3 linked regions of the Mus musculus genome follow. The protein of the gene in region 3 purifies or fractionates together with the protein of the main gene of each other region. This does not show direct contact. Links are inferred from orthologs where the notes say so. Each region holds a gene or a part of one and is shown on either strand. Other genes may lie near its edges.

Evidence for each region.
Region 1: the proteins of Ptch1 (region 3) and Ccnb1 purify together in Homo sapiens (affinity purification with western blotting; 3 studies listed by BioGRID and IntAct, with this or other methods). This does not show direct contact. The link is inferred for Mus musculus from reciprocal best matches to the Homo sapiens genes PTCH1 and CCNB1.
Region 2: the proteins of Ptch1 (region 3) and Grk2 purify together in Homo sapiens (affinity purification with western blotting; 3 studies listed by BioGRID and IntAct, with this or other methods). This does not show direct contact. The link is inferred for Mus musculus from reciprocal best matches to the Homo sapiens genes PTCH1 and GRK2.

The regions. Positions count from the first base shown.
Region 1 is NC_000079.6:100,783,658-100,787,968, forward strand, and holds the start of Ccnb1 (G2/mitotic-specific cyclin-B1), read right to left. Parts: upstream 2,830-4,311; 5' UTR 2,746-2,829; coding exon 2,725-2,745; intron 2,247-2,724; coding exon 2,076-2,246; intron 1,962-2,075; coding exon 1,800-1,961; intron 1-1,799. UniProt on the Homo sapiens protein: Essential for the control of the cell cycle at the G2/M (mitosis) transition.
Region 2 is NC_000085.6:4,289,125-4,292,768, reverse strand, and holds part of Grk2 (beta-adrenergic receptor kinase 1), read left to right. Parts: coding exon 1-2; intron 3-123; coding exon 124-225; intron 226-332; coding exon 333-407; intron 408-537; coding exon 538-599; intron 600-1,127; coding exon 1,128-1,179; intron 1,180-1,438; coding exon 1,439-1,530; intron 1,531-1,897; coding exon 1,898-1,997; intron 1,998-2,086; coding exon 2,087-2,165; intron 2,166-2,243; coding exon 2,244-2,374; intron 2,375-2,600; coding exon 2,601-2,695; intron 2,696-2,763; coding exon 2,764-2,871; intron 2,872-3,029; coding exon 3,030-3,096; intron 3,097-3,355; coding exon 3,356-3,456; intron 3,457-3,644. UniProt on the Homo sapiens protein: Specifically phosphorylates the agonist-occupied form of the beta-adrenergic and closely related receptors, probably inducing a desensitization of them. Key regulator of LPAR1 signaling.
Region 3 is NC_000079.6:63,541,725-63,545,368, forward strand, and holds part of Ptch1 (protein patched homolog 1), read right to left. Parts: intron 3,583-3,644; coding exon 3,513-3,582; intron 3,404-3,512; coding exon 3,312-3,403; intron 1,965-3,311; coding exon 1,766-1,964; intron 1,482-1,765; coding exon 1,360-1,481; intron 589-1,359; coding exon 441-588; intron 1-440.

The sequences.
Region 1 (4,311 bases), about 37 Mb from region 3:
AGAGGCTCCGTGAAACAGGCTACATTAAGGGAAGGAAAGCCAGTATCTGTATCCGCAATTCAGTACAGCATGCTCAATAAATGTAACTCATTTCACTAATAAAGGGAAAGCATTTCAGACTCTTTCCCCCAATTTCTTCTTGGGAAATGATTAACACTAGGCTGGAGTGATAGTTATAGCTGTAAAGGAACATCTGCTGCTTTTGCCAAGGGCTGGAATCCAGTTTCTCTTCAGGAACCAGGACTCAACCTTAGCTCCAGGCTATCTGACGTCCTCTTCCAGCCTCCTTGGGCCCTGCGCTCATGTGCAAACCCACATCCCACTCATGAAAAACAAATCGTACACATAAACAGCAAAAACTAACAAACAGAGCCAGGCATGGTGATCCAGGCCTTTAATCCCAGCCCCTGGGAGGCAGATCTCTGTGAGATGAAGCCAGCCTGGTCTCCATAGCAAACTACAAGGCAGCAAGATCTGGTCTCATAAAAAAAGAAACTCCGATTTAGATTAAGGCAGTTTAAAAGTAGGAAAAACTAGGCTGGCAAGCCTGGTAAGGGTGCCTGTTGCCAAGCCTAACAACTGAGTTCAATCCCTAGAACCCGCAAGGTGGAAGAACTGACTCAAAAGTTGTCTTCCAACCTCTCTAACTGTGTCCTCACACACAAAATACAAAAGAGAAGATGGGAGCTGGAGAGACGGCTCAGCAATTAAAGAGCCCTCGATCTCCAGGAGGGACAGAATTCAGATCCTAGCGACCACACTGGGTGGCTCACAAACGCCTGCAACGCCGGCTCCAGCTCCAAAGAACTCTGTCTCTTCAGGCCTAACATACACACAATTGGGCACAGACACACAAAAAAGTACTCTCAATACTAGTAGGTAAAGCAAGTCAAAGGAACAGATAATAAAGTCATTTATCCATCAGCTCAGCCCCACGTGAACTTGATTCAAAAGAATGCTAAGCCAGCAATCTTTATTCAGGTGTATCCAAGCCCCTGATTACAGAGAGCCCAGGCTAGCCTTAAACTTGCAATCTTCCTGCCTTAGCAGAAGTGCTCAAATCACAAACATGCACCAATCATCACACCTAGTAGTAAAATCTGGTGCCTTCGACGTGTATGCTTTTTTTGTTGTTGCATTTTTCTCTTTTGCATTTTAATACTCAAGGACTGAACCCAGGGCCTCCTAATATGCTGAACACAATCTAACAGGCTACAAACTCAGGCAAACTTCATTTTTAGGCTTAAATGCTAACCCATCATTCCATCATTATCATCTTTTTTTGTTTTCAAATACGGAGTTTCACTATATGTAGCTCTGGCTAGACTGGACCTTGTTACAGAGACTCAGAGCCCCACCTGCCTCTGGCCAGACAGAATACTGGGATTCTACCAAGCACCTTATTTTATTAATTAATCTCATTTCTCTGCCTGAAATCTTTTTAAAAATAGTTTTTGAATATACCATCCCAGCATTGGAGGTGGAAATCTCAAGTTCAAGGACAGCATGAGCTACAGAGACACAGAAAAGAAAATGATTTATGCCCACATCCGTGTCCCAGGCCAGCCAGGAGTACATAGTGAGTGAGACTCTGGTGTCTACATAAAACAAAAAGCCCCACCATATTTATCTGCCACCATTTGACGCAGGGTGCTAATACTCACCCCAGAGTCGTTAATGCATGTAAAATGTTTTTGCTAGCCACTCAATAATAAGTAATATATTTAAATGCTGTCATGTGCATCAACGTGAAATGAAGTCAGAGAGAAGAAACAAACTTTTAAAAAATGCAAGTTTACCAAAATAGGTTCAGGAGAAAGCTTCTCTTCTCTAACATGTTCAAGTTCAGGTTCAGGCTCAGGCTCAGCAAGTTCCACCTCTGGTTCACACACAGGCACCTTCTCTACAGGTTTTGGTAGGGCTTTAACAGTACCTTTTCCAGTACCTAGCGTTTTTGCTTCCTGTGGATGAAAGGGAGAGAACAGAATGTTTTCCCAAGGGTGACAGCTAGAAGATGGGCCTTTTCAGGTTAATTGGGCTAGGGAGATCGGTACCCTTTTCAGGGCGATAGTTACCCTTTTCAGAGGCACTCTTGCCTGTAGCTCTTCGCTGACTTTATTACCAATGTCTCCAAGAGCAGTTCTCGGTCTCAGCCCGGGCTTGGAAGCAGCAGTAACTGTCACAGGCACACGCTTGGCGCCTGCCATACTGACCTTGGCCTTATTTTCTGCGTTAATTTTCGTGTTCTGAAAGAAGTAAAAGAACAACTTGAAAAGGGTCCACGGCAGCAAGCAGGCAGCCCCGAGGAAGTCACGGGTTAATTAAGGCGGGACCTAACTAAGGAAAGCAAGGGTGGTAGGATCTAGCCTCCAGCCGTGACAAGCAAGTTTCCACCCAAATCTTTCACCTTTAATCCAGTTTCCCCTTAAGTCCTAAGCCACCCTAAACATGGTGAATTTACATCGGAAAGGATGCCATAAAAGCCTCCGTCGTAGACAGCTCTCCGGGAAGGCGAAGAATTCACCCTGGGCCTTCACCATTAAGAGCACAGCACCCACTCCCCACAAGTCCTGCAGCCCAGATAGGTCCAGAGGTCTTTTTCACCCTCCATAAGGTGGGTCCTCAGCTCCCCGGCCTCGCCGGAGCCCTCCCGGATCCCCCTCCCGCTCCGGGATCCCGCGGTCTTCTCCCGCCGCGATCACCGCAGCGCCTGGCCCGACTCACCCTAGTGACCCTGAGCGCCATGGCTCCTCCAAAATCAGAGGTTCCCCGATTCGAGAAGACACCCTAACCTCTGGCTATCCACAGCTAAACACTAACAGCCGTTCCTCCGCAGCACGCCGGGAGGAGTCTGCCGGGCTTAGGTTTAAACCCCGGGCCGCTCGCTCCTCATTGGCCAGTTCGTGGCACTCGCTCTCTTCCCATTGGCGCCGCGGGTTCCCGTAGAATGCGTTTCCTGGGCGATCCCGCGATCCCAAGTTCGGCGGGGGTGGGGCGGGGGCGGGGCCAGAGCGAGGCTGCCGCTGGCAGCACCGCCCACCCCTCGCGAGGTCAGGCTCTATGCCTGCGCACAAGTCGCATTGCTGCCACCTGCCTTAGGTAGGCATGGCGTGCAGTGCTCACTTGTGTGCTGTCCAAGCTAGCCCAGGCGACTCCGTTGGACTTTAGGAAAATGACTGTGGGGAGTACGCATATCAGTTTTGCTGTTGTCCTATTTATTGTTTCTCATCCTCTTCTATAGAAGTGCCAATACTATCTTAAGAGTTCCCGAAAGCTTTGTTGCAGAGACGGTCTTTAATATGACTGTTCCAACAGCTATCTGGGATGGATTTTGAGGTTGATAGCATGAAGTTTTAGCACACATACACATAGTAAATGTTTTTTGTTTTGTTTTTGCTTTTTGTTTTTTCGAGACAGGGTTTCTCTGTATAGGCCTGGCTGTCCTGAAACTCACTCTGTATACCAGGCTGGCCTCGAACTCAGAAATCCACCTGCCTCTGCCTCCCAAGTGCTGGGATTAAAGGCGTGTGCCACCACCGCCCAGCTGTAAATGGTTATTATAAGCAAATAGATTAACATACCAAGCTCCCCAATAGCGACTGCCCCAGTGATAAAAGAAAATGTGCCTTATGCTTAATTTTGCTCTAAGTTTAAGATTACTCCAAAAATATAGTTTTGTAAAATCTTATTTAACAAAGATCTCTATTGCAACTCTCTATCTTTCTATGTCAAACTCCTTATTAAGGCTTATTAACTTCAGTGAAATTTTCCACATTAATTTTCAGTAACACTAACGCGGATTTATTTATTGACCAGGATCTCTTGTAGCACAGGTTGTTGGCATTCCTTCTATGCTCCGCCCAACAGTTACCTAGCAACAGCCAGGTAGGCCTGGCTTGCTATAAAAAGGACTGTTTGGCCTCTCCCTCTCTCTCTGACTCTGCCCTCTTTTCTCTCTCTGTCCCTTTTCTCCCTCTCTCCCTTCTCCCTCTCTTCACAGGTTCCTGGCCAGCTTCTTTTCTTCTTTTTCTCCTTCTCCCTCCCCCCATCTTTTCTCCTCTCTCTCTTTCTCTCTCCCACCCCCCCTTCTCGTCCCTTCTCTTTCTCTGTCTCTATTCACTTCTCACCTTCCTTTCCCATGCCCCCAAGTAAGCTGTTCTATGGTAGACCCGTCATATGGCTGGTACCTGGGGTGAGGAGTGGAAGCCTCAGTACGGGCCCACTGAGGGCACCCCCTCCCACCACACCATCCTGTGCTCTCTAAAACATATTCTTGGTTTTATAAAATGCATCACAGGTTGTTGAACTTCA
Region 2 (3,644 bases), on a different chromosome or scaffold from region 3:
AGGTAAGATGGGCGAAGTCTACTGAGATAAAGGTGCGTAAGCACCTTGCTGTGTCTGAGGCCCCTGGCATCTAGCTTCATGCCGTGGCCACAGACAATCATCTATAGGTATTCCTTCTACCAGATCAAGAAATATGAGAAGCTGGAGACAGAGGAGGAACGTGTGGTCCGCAGCCGAGAGATCTTTGACTCCTATATTATGAAAGAACTGCTGGCCTGCTCACATGTAAGAGTCCTGTGGGGTGTGAACTCATGTGTTGATCCCAGCAACGTGGGATTAGAAGGAAAGAAAGAGCCTTATATAAGATTCACAGCCACCTCTGTCCTCTCCAGCCCTTTTCAAAGAATGCTACGGAGCATGTCCAGGGCCACCTGGTGAAGAAGCAGGTGCCTCCAGATCTCTTCCAGGTTCGTGCTGGGTGCTTCTCCTCTTGCCCCCATTCTGCCCAGATCAGGCCCTCCCGCCTTAAGTCAGCTGGGGCCCTGGAGCCTGGGGCACCGCAGACTTAGTCACCAATTCCCAGCTCTCTCCCCACAGCCATACATTGAGGAGATTTGTCAGAACCTCCGAGGGGACGTGTTCCAGAAGTTCATAGAGAGGTAAGTAGGAGAAGCAGCCTGCCCTGGCTCTGAGCAGCCAGGTGTGGGGTCTGTCTCTGTCCCATCACAGGGACTCTTGAGAGGTCACATAGATCCAACGTCCTCTTCTCCCACCCTGTATCTCCCTGTGCTATGGAGTGTCAGGGTCTAGCAGGGCTGTACCTGAAGTACACGCTTCCCTCTGTGGTGAGAACCACCAGTGTCTAGGCAGAACGCTAGGAACAGCTCTTTCAGTCACCGCCACCCAGCCATGGGAGGTACAGCGGGCTGAGTAGGTGACATCACTGGGAATGTGAGTGAGCAGCAGGTGCTGTACCCTGGTGGAGGTCTGACTGGCGAGCATTTCTCTGATTGCAGCAGGACAACATGGTTCAGGCTGCAGAGGCTTGTTGGCCTGAGCTAACCATAGGCTCAGGAGGTCTCTATGTCCACGTGTCAGGACCCTGGAAGGGCAGTGGGTGGATCGGACTCTGATGACGGCCCAGTGCCTTGATGCTTGCTTGAGTGTGTCTTCTCCTTCTTCCCCAGTGACAAGTTCACACGGTTCTGCCAGTGGAAGAATGTTGAGCTCAACATCCACGTGAGTGGGTTCAGGGAGCTGGCATGCCAGGGGACCCTGGGGAAATGCAGTGGCCAGGGCTTTGCCGTCGGCCCCACAAAGGTGACTCTGGGGGGAGGAGGGCCAGTGCTGGGATCCCAGTAGGAGAGGCTGGAGAACGGTGAGTGTGTGTCTAGATCACAGGAGTAGGAGACCCCGGTAGCAGGGCCTGTCCCTGCTGCCCACATGCCTCTGCTGTGGGGCTGGGGAGGCAGTGACCCTGGCTGTTACCACTCTGCAGCTGACCATGAATGACTTCAGTGTGCATCGAATCATCGGGCGTGGGGGCTTCGGTGAGGTCTATGGGTGCCGGAAAGCAGACACAGGCAAGATGTGAGCACCCTGATCAGCTGGCACTGGGTGGGGTGCCCGAGGGAGGAGTCAGGCTTCTCGAGGTACCATGAGGGACTGGGACCTTTTAAAGAACTGTTCCGGGGATCAGTGTCCCAAGCTTGCCATCCCTGAGTCTCTGCCTACAAGTGACTCCTGCCCCTGTCCCCTCCTCCCTGTTTCGCTCTGGCTGTCCTGTCTCCCTCGGGCTCCTCGGAGACTCACTTGCCGGCACCTCCTGCGCTCTCTAAAGCACTGGTTGTGTCACGTGGTTTGTCTTGCATCTGGTCTGCAGCAGCAGCCTGCTGAAGCAGCTGGGGCTCTCCCCTGCAGGGCTCGCTGACACTGCTGACCTACTCCTCCATCATAGGTACGCCATGAAGTGTCTGGACAAGAAACGCATCAAGATGAAGCAGGGAGAGACCCTGGCTCTGAACGAGCGGATCATGCTTTCCCTCGTCAGCACCGGGGTGAGTTGGGTGGCCAAGCGGGCCTCCGTAGTGACCTCTGACCCCAGCCTCGGCCAGCCTTCCCTCACTCACCTTCCCCTCCATCCTAGGACTGCCCCTTCATCGTGTGCATGTCATATGCATTCCACACACCAGACAAGCTCAGCTTCATCCTGGACCTCATGAACGGTGAGCTCGGCCCTAGGGGGTGGACCTAGGGCTGGACCTGGGCAGGAAGCTGAGTCTTACCTGGGGGCTACCCCTCAGGTGGGGACCTGCACTACCACCTGTCTCAGCATGGAGTCTTCTCTGAAGCCGACATGCGCTTCTACGCCGCTGAGATCATCCTGGGCCTTGAACACATGCACAATCGCTTTGTAGTCTACAGGGACCTGAAGGTGAGGGGCTGCTGCCACCTGCCTCCTGCCTCTAGGCCTGCAGCATGGCCAGCTTAGCCTCTTTCTGAGTTCAGTTGTGATGGAGGGGTGAGCAGTGAGCGGGAATGGGGCGGGGGGAGGGGAGAGGCGGAATGCCCTACCTGGGGCCTTGTCCCAAAACCATGTAGTTCCCTCCAGTGAGGGTCCAAGCTGGCCTCCTGGTGAGCTCTCTGGGCTTCCTTCACAGCCAGCCAACATTCTCCTGGATGAACATGGCCATGTGAGAATCTCGGACCTGGGCCTAGCCTGTGACTTCTCCAAGAAGAGGCCTCATGCCAGTGTGTAAGTGCCTAGCCATTCCCTCCATTCCCAACCTTCCTCCACTTCGCTTATAGCCTGTGCTCCCACAGGGGCACACACGGGTACATGGCCCCCGAAGTCCTACAGAAGGGCGTGGCCTATGACAGCAGTGCAGACTGGTTCTCCCTGGGCTGCATGCTCTTCAAGTTGTTGCGGGGGTGAGTAGGCTAGCCCAGACGGGCAATCCAGATAGGAAGCGGGGAGGAGAGCCCTGTAAAGCCTGGGTGTTAAGAGGTGGAGCCTCCCTCAGCGCTCACTAGCCCTGCCCACCAGTCCACCTCACTTTTCCCATCCTTGCTCTTTGCCTCTTGTCCAGACACAGCCCCTTCCGGCAGCACAAGACCAAAGACAAGCATGAGATTGACCGCATGACGTTGACGATGGTAAGTATAACGGTGGCAGTGAGGCCTACGTGGTGCCAGAAGCATAAACTCCTGGTTCTCTCTGCCGGCTCTCCCGTCTCTGTACCTGAGGGCTGGGCTGCCGCCCTGTAGCCTCTTGCCTTGCCTGTGCTGTCAGAGCTCACACTGGCTGAGGACCAGTGGGAAGCTGGGCCTCATCTCCTTCTGCTGGCCTCTAACCCTCCCCCGGAGCCAGGCTCTCTTCCTGGCTTCTGTTGACTCCTCCTCTTTGTCCTGAAAGGCTGTAGAGCTGCCTGACTCCTTCTCCCCTGAACTCCGATCCCTGCTGGAAGGTTTGTTGCAGAGGGACGTCAATCGGAGACTAGGCTGTCTGGGCCGTGGGTGAGTATCCTGGCCTCTCCACCATGTGACCATACTCAGTCTTTGCTGGGCTCTGCTGGGCCAGCCTGCCTGGGCCTCTGGCTGTGCCCCCTTAGAACAGTGGTTGTGTCGCATCATTTGAACCCTCCTCAGAGCTCACAGGGAGGTCCTGGCCCTATGTCCTCAGGGTGGCAGGGCTGGCTGGGTGT
Region 3 (3,644 bases):
TTTGCTAATGTTTTCCAGACACCTTTTCTTGTTCACCCAGTGTGGGTTTTCCCCCTCCCCCTTTTGCACTGTTATGCCTGGGCTCTGAGATCTACAATAGTTACTAGGCATGTTTCAGGGAACCCCAACTAAGAATGAGTGTCTCTTCAGACACTACTCCCAAAACTTTCAATGGCTGGATAAAGAAAATCAAGCTTGCATTTCATGCAGTGCTTAGAATTAAAGTTTGTATTGAAGAGATGGAGGCTGAGTTCAGTGGTGTAATCCCAGCAATCAGGAGGCTGAGGCAGGAGGACAGCAATTTTGAGACTGCTTGGGCTGCACTATTAGACTAAACAACAAACAAAAATCCCACTACACCTAACGGGAAACAATGTTTCAATAGGAAAGGAAGACTGGGCTCAGTTACAAGTTGTCCTGATTTCTAGGCAGGGCCTCACCTCCACGTAAGTCCTCTGCCAGGCCTCCAGGATGGCGGCTGCCCTGTCTTCATTCCAGTTGATGTGAGAGACATAGTCGTAGCCCCTGAAGTGTTCATACATTTGCTTGGGAGTCATTAACTGGAACATGGTTTGCAGGGCGTGAGCGCTGTCAAGGTGAATGGACAGAAGGAAGGTCAGCACAGCGGCCAAGCAGTGTGTGCAATGTGAAGTCCCAAGCAAGCATCCCCAGTTTTCCCTCAGACTTCTTCCCTCCTCTGTGTGCACATGTTTCCATTCAAACAAGACCAGGATGGTTATTGTATTTAATAGATTGATGTACCATATTAAAGGTGTAACCTTACAAACCTTTTACAGATAGACCCCAAAATTAAATTAATAAGCAATTTCCTTTCTCAGTTCCTATTCCATGAAACAGGAAGGAGAGGGGAGTAGATAGCTTGACCAGATACACTGGGTTCAGCCACACACTCTCTGTGTGCAGAAATCCCAGAGACAGTGTCCCGAGGGAGAAACCTCAGACGAAACACCTGACACTTGACTGACTGGAATCCTGGCTGCACAGAGGCCAACTCTTGCCTTGCTTGCTGTTCCTGGTCTTTGACTCTTAACAGTGCGTGACACAGATCAGCTCCTACCCCTCAACTCATTGTACACTAATACTGGATTTTCTTATCCCATTAGTCTATGTAAGGGCAGACCTTCCAAAACCTTGAAATCAACAGCTACTGCTCTGATGAAAACTACAAATCCATTCTAGAAAACCTTGCCCACAAGATCTCTTTGCAAGCTGGTCTGGTGTGCTAATGTTCCCCAAGGTTCAATGAACTGGACAGCTAGCTAAGATTTACATGAGTCCAAAGGCCTGTGTACAAGAAAAGGGGCACAGGCTAGAGTGGGGGGTACTCTGCTGGATTACCTGACAAGTTTTCCAGTGGCATTCTTGACGGTACCACCCACAATCAACTCCTCCTGCCAATGCATATACTTCCTGGATAAACCTTGACATCCACCATTCAAAACAAGGGCCACATCAAGAGGCTGTAATGAAAAGACAGTCACATAATTATGGGAATTAGTAGGCAGGTCACATGCCTCGTTAAGATCCAGTGCGTTAAGGGCTTGTTTGTTTCAGAGAAAACATTAATAGCAAGACTAATGAGGGTTATGCTAAATCTTACAGCAAAACTCAGCTCTGTGAACAACCTTAGTTCCATACACCAAATTAAAAAGGAACAAAAGTCACTGCCAAACGAAATCTTCAGGATGAAAATCATAGAGAGAACTGTAAGTGAAAACAGAAAAGCACCCCCCCCGAAACTCACTTTGGTTGAATTTTTGTTAGGGGCTGTGGCAGGGCAATCTGGGTCGGCTGGGTTGAGGCAAGGCCGGTCCATGTACCCATGGCCAACTTCGGCTTTATTCAGCATTTCCTCCCAGCTGTCCACTTGGTAGTTTATTTTCTTTAACTCTTCTAGGAATTCCAAGGGGTCAAAGTTTGTCCACCGTAAAGGAGGCTTACCTCTGCGAAAGAAATTAGAGGTGAGGCCATGAAAAATGTGGCTCAGACAGGCAGGAGGGCACATGGCTGCATTTGCACAACACAGGCTTATTAAAGCAAAACTCTGGGGCCTGAGTATAAAGGAAAGGAGAAAATATAAAAGTTCTTTCCCAGTAAAGCCACTGGCAAACTTAAGTCAGGAAAAGAATCCATGGCTGAGGATGGCAAGCAGGGTTTGCAAATTAAGGGAACCAACAGACAATCTTAATCCCCTGATATAGTATTTGATACCTTTAAAAAAAATTAGCTGGTGGGGGGAGGGATGGGTTCTTCTGAGCTCCAAAGTGAAAAACCGAAAGAATGAATTACAATATTACCTGCCTGCTTAAAAACTGCTTTTTAAATGTGACCAATCCAAGTATTTGATCTGCTAACTTTAACAATCATTCTTACGAGGTCCCTCTCACAGGTTGCCAGTGGGGTGGGCAAGCGCCCCCCCCCCCCCGGGACTCTACCATCACCACTATTACAGCCACTCCTAACCCCCCACTCACTTTGGAAACTGGGCTGTTGACAGACCAGAAAGGCTTTTGGCTGCCTGTTATGTGGTTCAAACCGTACTGTAGCTGCTTAACCAGGCTGAAGTCATTATTCAGAGTCTCCCAACCAGAAAACACAAAACCCCTTATTTCCCATCTAAAACTGTACACTGAAGGTCAGGGGATGGCCACTGCAAATTGCTTTTGCAGATATGTGCGGGCCAGGACGGAAACAATAACCCAAGCACTAACTCTCGCATAATTAGCTGAAGAAAGTCTACACCGAGTAACCATCATTCTTTAAATGGTGTGGTGTATGCAATTCCTAACTGCTGAGCTACGAAGCATCCCTTATCACGGCCTTTATAGACAGCGCATTTCCCCGCTTAAACATCATTACCATGATCCAAAGTAGGGTCCATATTTTTCTCTGCAGGAATATCTTGAACCTTAGCTGAAGTATTTCCTTGTGACAAGAACCCAGTAATAAATTATCTTCTTAAATGTCTGAGTGTTGGTCTGCATAACTACGAGCATTTTATAAAGAGTTTTTAAAAAATTGTACAGACTGTGCAATGATTTGCATTTTATTTGCATATAAATAGGTTGGTAAAAGTGAATGAAATCTAATGATGCCTACAGAACTGTTTCTGAAAAGAGGAAAAAAACATTCTGCTGAAATCCCCTCCCCCCCCACCATTCACTCAAAAAAATGCGCATGGAATTTCAATGTTTTTATTTCTTGTCCAAAACTGAAACAGAATAAACAATGATAAGCCACACCGGAAACTGTCACTGAGTCCAGCGGCTGGACACTGAGGGTGCACTTACAGGAGGTATGCTGTCCCGGACTGTAGCTTTGCCCCTTCCCAGAAGCAGTCCAAAGGTGTAATGATTAAGCAAGGGTAAAGGTATTCTATTATCTGTCAAAGCAAAAAACAATAGGGGTGCTTTAGGCTCACACTCGCTGCTCGGGTTGTTTCCAGAAATTTTGAACACTTTCCCCTCTCTGCAAACAAGAAAAGAATGTACCTGATCCATGTAACCTGTCTCCGTGATAAGTTCCCCTGATTTGTAGCACAAATGTTCCAACTTCCATTGCCTATTGGGATGGAAAGTGAAGAGAAATAAAAAAACTAAAACAAAAATGCTTCTTACTGCAAG